2 linked regions of the Coturnix japonica genome follow. The protein of the gene in region 2 purifies or fractionates together with the protein of the main gene of each other region. This does not show direct contact. Links are inferred from orthologs where the notes say so. Each region holds a gene or a part of one and is shown on either strand. Other genes may lie near its edges.

What was found.
Region 1: the proteins of SMC2 (region 2) and NCAPG2 purify together in Homo sapiens (affinity purification with western blotting; 4 studies listed by BioGRID and IntAct, with this or other methods). This does not show direct contact. The link is inferred for Coturnix japonica from reciprocal best matches to the Homo sapiens genes SMC2 and NCAPG2.

The regions. Positions count from the first base shown.
Region 1 is NC_029517.1:8,484,694-8,488,518, reverse strand, and holds part of NCAPG2 (condensin-2 complex subunit G2), read left to right. Parts: intron 1-804; coding exon 805-875; intron 876-1,166; coding exon 1,167-1,320; intron 1,321-1,500; coding exon 1,501-1,674; intron 1,675-2,141; coding exon 2,142-2,258; intron 2,259-2,370; coding exon 2,371-2,514; intron 2,515-3,584; coding exon 3,585-3,684; intron 3,685-3,825. UniProt on the Homo sapiens protein: Regulatory subunit of the condensin-2 complex, a complex which establishes mitotic chromosome architecture and is involved in physical rigidity of the chromatid axis.
Region 2 is NC_029547.1:59,008,963-59,012,787, forward strand, and holds part of SMC2 (structural maintenance of chromosomes protein 2), read right to left. Parts: intron 3,820-3,825; coding exon 3,702-3,819; intron 2,962-3,701; coding exon 2,823-2,961; intron 2,635-2,822; coding exon 2,515-2,634; intron 2,237-2,514; coding exon 2,032-2,236; intron 1,495-2,031; coding exon 1,359-1,494; intron 1-1,358. UniProt on the Homo sapiens protein: Central component of the condensin complex, a complex required for conversion of interphase chromatin into mitotic-like condense chromosomes.

The sequences.
Region 1 (3,825 bases), on a different chromosome or scaffold from region 2:
CTCTTCAGCTGCTGGAACAGCCGAAACAGCTGAGGCTCCTTTGTTACTTTCTTGTGATTGTCTTCTGATAATTGGATTCTACTCTCTAACAGTCTTTTGATTCTTACTACTTAGTGTTCTAATCAGCCTTAGGTAATCAGAGCTGAGAGTCTGTTCATTTCTACATTATATTCTGCAGTACAGATCTAGCAAATACTCTTTCTACCCCGAAAATGTTTGGATTTGTCAAAGACATTCCAAGCCTTTTTTGGAAACCCTCCTCTGAAGTTCTGGTGATCAGGCAAGAGATCCAGCTTCAGCAAGCAACCTCTTGAGTGATATTCTTACAGTGAGTGAGCAGCTTGCATCTAAAACAATCTTGTCATCAGGAGCTTATTTTCTAGGAGACTACAGGTTGAGTCAAAGTATCTCTATCCTGAAAACCTACGTGCTTTTTTTGTTGTTGTTTAAAATGTTATTTTAAAAAATCAACTTTAAAAGATTTCAGCTCTTCAGATGTTAAAATGAATAATAATTTTATTTGATTGAACTCCTGAAGCGTGGACAACAGATACGTTATTTCTAAACAGTTTGTCACACTGGTCAGTTTCTGTACGTCGTATTTTGATGTGTTGTAACAACTTCTGGGGTATTTCTGTGTTAAATTTGTCAGTTGCAGATTGTAAGACGTGATGTTTTTCTACTTCCACCTCTAGTGAAATGAAATAAATGCTTAAATTGATATAATTGAATCATACTTTATCTCTTAAATTTTGCATGATGTCTGTATGTGTACGTCATTATAGTGCACCTTTTATTTCATAGGATGACCGCTGCATAACTCCATTGGTTATCCTGGCATCCTTTATGCCCCCTGCTGCTATTCCTACATTCAGGTACTATTTTTAAATCCAAAATGCGAGTGGCACTTGTTGACTTGTGTTAAATTTTTCACAAGCTGACATTTTAAATGCCCATTTTGATAGATTGGATAATTTGGGTAAACTTGTATAAAATAATCTGCTAAATAAATGTACCGAGTTGATAAAATCTGCATGGTATAAATATATCTCTGAGCCACCTGCGTGTCTCTTTTGGTGGTATATTACTTGATTATCTGTGAATAATTTCTACAATGATAAATATGAAGTTAACACATCTTTTTCCTTTTATCTTTTCAATCTAAGCTGTGGTGTGATCTCCAAACTCAGAAACATGGACAGTGGGGCTGACCAAAGCAAATACTCTACTCTGATAGACTGTATGTGTCGCTGGGGTCAAGTGAGCCATGTGTTGGAACTTGCCTGTGACTGGTTGTCAGACACGCTAACCCCAAAAAAGGTATGGAGACATCAAGGAATTGTTAGATTACATAACTGCGTTTTTCCTTTGTTGTGGGTTTTTTCTTTTTTCTTTAAGGAGCAGCTTCTCACATGCTGTATTTTCTTTCTTTGAAATTAACTGTAAAAATTGTAAAGTACTAACTGTACCTTACTAATGTTGTGCTTCCTTCTCCTTTAGAATGTTAAAACATCAGAACGGCGAGTACGTATCCACGTGACACATGAATCGAAGCCAGAATTAGCACTTGATTACATTGAATATTTATTGACTCATCCTGTTAATCGTAGTTACCTACTCTCTGTTCCTAAAAAGAAACTGAACCATCTTCTGAAAGTTCTCAGTGCTGCTAAGGTAGTGTTATCCTTACCACAAGCAATGCTTATAAAAGAGTGCATCATATTATAGATTGCCTTTCTCAAATTAAAGCTCTGGGAATACCTAAGTAGGCTTTGTTACAGCTTCTTCCCCTTCTACTTCAGACAGATGTTCTAAACTGGAAGTATATTATTAGTTCACAATTGTTTATCGGTGGCAAATTTTAATTGCTTTTTCACTTCTAGGTGCCTCTAATTTTTGTGATCCAGTGTTGAGTATTTGTAAGGAACCTGACTTTCAGAATGTAAGGAATAGTCTTGAAAATCAGTTCTAGCATTTCACAATTAAAATAATTGAAATCAGGCTTCTTAATTTTGCCTTTTTGTTTTTTTTTTTTTCCTTCTTATTTTAAAATCTTCTGTTTAAAAGTGTTGAGAAAAACACAACAAAACTTTTTTGAAAGATTTTTCTGGCAAATATAAATGTGAACTTTGATATTTCAGGAGATTCTTGGCTCAGTTCTGAAAACAATTGAAATGAATCGTGGTAGCTGCAATCAAGGAACTGGCTTAAGAGCCTTCAGCCTGTGTTGCAGGTTGAGTATTCATCTTCAAAACAAGGTATGTTTATACTTTATATTTCAGTATAAGCAGGAGTTAAAGCTGACAGTCTAAGGAAATTCCAAAAGAATTGGAATTCAAAAGTTTATAAACTTCTAATTTTGTTTTCCAGTTTTCGGAAGAAGGAAAAGATTATCTGTCACATCTGCAGGACATGGGAGCTTGGGTAGAAAGTCACATTTTACCTTTTCTACTCGCAAGTGAACAAGAGGATGGAATTTCAAAACAGAGTAATGTTCCTGAATTAATAATCCAGGTTAGAGGTCCCTTCTCACATAAATCAAACTACCTCCAGCCAAATAAGTGGTATATGTAAACTTCAGGTTTACAAACACTGTTATCCAAAATGTCCAGTGCATTATAGAGGATGATTTGGAAGCCCAGGAAGGTCATGTTATTGTAGAAGAGGTTTTAAATCTAATCGTGTTGGTTTGCTTTGCTTCCTTCTTTCCTTCCTGCTTTCCCAAAAGAAACAGGTAGAACTATATCCTGAGGAATTAATTCAGCATACTTAATTCTGGTACTGAGTACCAGGAAACATATCTATGGAAGTCAGCAGAGTGAGAGTGGGAGTTCCCTGGGAATTAATGAGGGAGTAGTGAGGAAGTGAGTCGTTCACTGACTTGGATTCGCACTGCTGCAGCCAAATGACTTTTAGAAGGCTCTAAAGAGGCATTAAGTAAGTGCTGTAGTTGTTCCTGGGACAGATTAATTGTGTGTTTAATAAGCTATTGTCTCTTTTCAAAATGAAATAATTGACATGCATGCTGCAGCTCTGGCTATTTGTCAAAAGATTGCGGTCATAGAATTCAATCTTACAGAAAGACAAGACACCAAATAAAGAATATGTACCAGAATTTCTAGAATGTGTTTGATCAATTTCCCAGGTCTGAACAGAAACCGAAAATGAATGTACTGATAAAAAATGAAATAGGTAGTTATCAACAACAGAACTGATATTCTGCATGATGAGTCAGTAATAATGTTCCTTGTTAGTAGGTACACAGAAGGCACGTGATTAGGTAATATATAAGCAAATTTTTAATTGTCTTCTGTTGTATTTCCCATATGTCTCACTTAACATAGTGCAGATTTTACCACTGAGCTGTGGGTCTTTTCAAATTCTAGTCAAGGGAAAGATTCGGACAAACTTTAATCACAGTCTGTGTCTTTGAATGGCCCAACTCATTGAAATGCTGGCTGATTAACAAAAGAGAATTAAATGATTCCTTGGATTTTATATTCTTATTGCTTCTCACTACTACTGAACTGTTGTTTTTTATAGTAATGTTTTTGTTCTGATTTATTTCTGCTTCTCTTTTCTAGGCCTATCTGTCAATCTGCAAAGATGTCATAATGGTTGGTCTTGGAAATGTCAAGTTTCAACTGCACTTTTTAGATATGGCACTTTCAGTAATACAAACAGGTACGAAATATAGTGCTAACATCAGCACCTTCACACACAATTAGGTGACATGTTTGTATATTGACAGAACTGTTGCTTTTTTGTTTTGTGGAATCTCTTTCTCAAAAAACAGTATTTATAGTTGATGCTAATATCATTCAT
Region 2 (3,825 bases):
AAATGCAGGCACAGTCCTTAGTCACAACAGAGGAAATATTTTAGATAGTGGAATAGCTATTTTCTAAATATTTAATTTTCCTTAGGCCCTATCCTCTCCTCCAGAAAATTAGTTTATGTGAGTTGTCTTTATACTGTGTATGGGAACTGTTGAGTCCCAGCCTGAACTACTGATTGAGCACCTGGGGAAAAGACCTGGTCAGCTCTGGGAGCACAGATGAAAGCGATTCACCTGTGGGACTGGAAGGGGTGGAGCCTGGCTGCATCTCCCTTAGACCTCCCTGAAGGGCTGACTATCCCTATCACTAGGGAAGGAGCACTTTCTGGAGATTCTGCCTTGATGAAGCTTTTCCCTGCAAACCTATTATCTTCTGATAGATCTCCTTTATAGCACTTTTCTACCATGCAGGTCCTTCTGTCACTGCACAGATGACAGATCCCTCTGAAGGACCTCCCTATGATCTGCCTGAGGGTAGAGAGGCCTTTCAGAGGGATCTAGATAAGCTGGTTCACTGGGCTGAGGTTCAACAAAGCCAAGTGTTGGGTCCTGAACTTTGGCCACAATAACCCCATGCAGTGTTATAGGCTTGGGGCAGAGTGGCTGGATGACTGTGAAGAGGAAGTGGACCTGGGGGTGTTGGTTGATGCTCTGCTGAACATGAGCCGACAGTGTGTCCAGGTGGCCAAGACAGCCAACGGCATCCTGGCCTGCATTAGAGATAGTGTGGCCAGCAGGAGCAGAGAGGTACTCAGCGCTAGTGAAGCTGCATCTTGAGTACTGTGTTGTTTTGGGCCCCTCACTACAAAAGACAGTCCACAGAAGGTCAGTGAAACTGGTGAGGGGTCCAGAGCACAACACTTATGAGAAGTGGCTCAAGGAGCTGGGATTGTTTAGCCTGGAGAAGAGGAGGCTCAAGGGAGACCTCATTGCACCTACAACTTCATAAGGGGAGGTTGTGGTGAGGAGAGGTTTGGCCTCTTCTCCCAGGCAACAAACAGGACCTGAGGAAACGGCTGCAAGTTGTACCAGGGAAGGTTTAGATTAGACATAAGGAAAAACTTTTTCTCTCAGGGAGTGGTCAGGCACTGGAATAGCTGCCCACGGAGGTGGTAGAGTCGCCATCCCTGGCAGTGTCCAAGAGGCATCTGGATGAGGAGCTAGGAGATATGGTTTAGAGGCTTGTGGTAGCAATGGGAATGGGAGCACAGCTGGACTAGATGATCTTGTAGGTCCTTCCCAACCTTGTGGTCCTATGATTCACACCTTTGTTGTAACATCTTTCCCATCATATCGATCTGTCCAACAGTTACATAGTCACATAAGAGAAATAACAGACATTTATACTACGCAAACCTTACTTTTCAGCTGTATTCTTTAAGTTTGCTAGCTCTCTCTCTACAGCTTCAAGTAGAGACTTCTTTATTTTGAGTTTTTCTTCAGCTTCTCTCATAGTTTTAAGTTTAACCAATATAGATGTAACATGCGCGCTTGCACCTGTTCAGAGAAAAAAAGAACAAAGTTAAATCTGATTGGAATTAGATTCAACTCTGGCAAGTGATGAATTGTAAATACTGGCTACGATGCAGGTTTTAGTTCATCATCTGTTTTCATTGCAAAACAGAAGAACAGCTAAGCAATCATTCTCAATGGAGAGACTACAAATTAATTTAGTGAAATCATCCAACTTAACATATTGTCATGTGTGAATTTACCTCAAATAAATTATGAAATATTCCAAAAAATGTTTGAGTTCAAAGCACTCTTTCCAACCTCCTCCAAGATGTTTCAATAGCCAAACATGTATCTAATACATAAACTATATTATGCTAATATTTTATCGGTTTTTTCCTAGTCTAACTGTAGTCTTACTTCAGTGTACAACCACCAAATCTTTTCTCAAAGATGATGTTATCTCAAGTACGAGTTTAAACAACAACAACAAAAAAGCCTCTTTCCATTTTTAACAATATGCAGGGCAGTAAACAAATCAACAAAAACACAATTATTATATGAATACAAAACAGTAATTGCCTCCACTTAGGGTTCCCTGAGGGTCGAATATTTCTCCTTGAAGTGTAACACTTTTTTTCATTATTCTTTTGTCAAAGGTCACTTTCTTAGCTTTATCCATGTTGCTACAGACCAGTGTTGTGCCAAAGACAAATTCCATGGCCTTCTGTAGTTCGATATTATAATCAATTAGCGAAATGGCTATATGCACATCAAGATGACCGATCTAGAAATAAAGTGAAATGCAATTAGTATGTCTTAAGTTACAAGAATCTTATTTCGATAAAAATAATTTTTAAGTCATTCTTACATTTTAAATCATAATTTCAGGTAAAAGCAAAACAATTAAGATCTATCTGAATACTGGATAGTTCAAGGATAGTGAGGGAAAAAAAATTAAGAAACCCTCAAACTCTACAGAAATAGTATGACTGCTACATTATGCTAAAAAAATTGAAAAGGAAAAAAAAGCATGCAATAAAAACACAGTATTTATGTACATACCAGTTCTTTGGCCAGTGAGATAATTTCATATCCAATACACTTGGCTGAAATTTTGTTTAGTGGAATGATGGTGTAACGATGCTTTAGTTGACCCTTTTCTATAATCTTCCTGCCAGTAGCCTAGAATGAGAAAAGCCACCTTTCAGAGCATATTCAAATATTAAGACAATAGGGCATTCCAGTAGCATCATTTCATCAACAGTATCTATGTATGACACTTGCTGACTTAAATTAAGTAGGTACCTGGGACCAAATCACCTCTTAGGCATTAAGACACTAAGCACGCGTTTGCTTATTGACACACATACCTCTGTGTCCACCACAATGTGATAGAGTTTTCCCCCAGCCACTGCTTCTAGGGCTTTTGATGTGGATATGTCTTTCACAGTGATGAGTGTTACAACAAGGCCTTTCACATAGCTGGGATTCCAATTTTTTTCTGGATTTCTTAGAAAAACAAAATCAGTTATGACAACCATGTTTGGTTCTCTTCCTGACATCTTCAAAAACTATATTAGAAACTACTATTATTTACAAGGGTAGAAGAAACCCTAATTCTATTAGACAAAATAAACAAAAAAATATTAATTTAACTACTTCAAAGCAAGAGACTTCCCAGTAAGAAGTCAGTTACAAAGCCAACAGAGGAATGTCCTTCCTGCGTTTAGTATGATTTGTTCACACAGATCTCAGTTATTAGCGCAATTACGGGAATATGCTCTGGTTGATTTTACATAATAAAACACATATGAGATTACATATATGTTGTAAAAACAGACACAACTTTCACTTCCACAGAGCAAATTTATTCACAGACCTCAGACAGGACTGAAAATTGTTAACGTTTTTGCAGATTAGTCTGTTGGACTGCTATAGTTTCAGCTAATTAACTTGACTTAGGAATTGCAGCACCATGTTACAGAACTTCTAAATTCACATTATATTGATAAGGTTGTATTTAAAGAATGACTGTGTCCTCTTCACTGATGCCTACTAATTCAGCTAGAATTTCCTGACTTTACTAACCTGTTAACTTGCCTCAGATAAGAGAATCAATATTCACTGACAGTACAAGAAAAACAACTGCCAAGGATTCAATGGAATAATTTTTATAGTCTCATAATTCATGTGTTAAATGCACCAAGCAGCACCTGAAAATGTAATTCAAAATGACACTGAGATCTTACTTGTACTCGAAATGTAGATGAGGATGCTTCGCTGCTATACTTTCACACAGTTCTCTCAGAGAAATGATCTCAGAAATCAGTGCCTTCTTCTTTGCTACATGGGCTTCCTCTTCTCCTTCTGGAA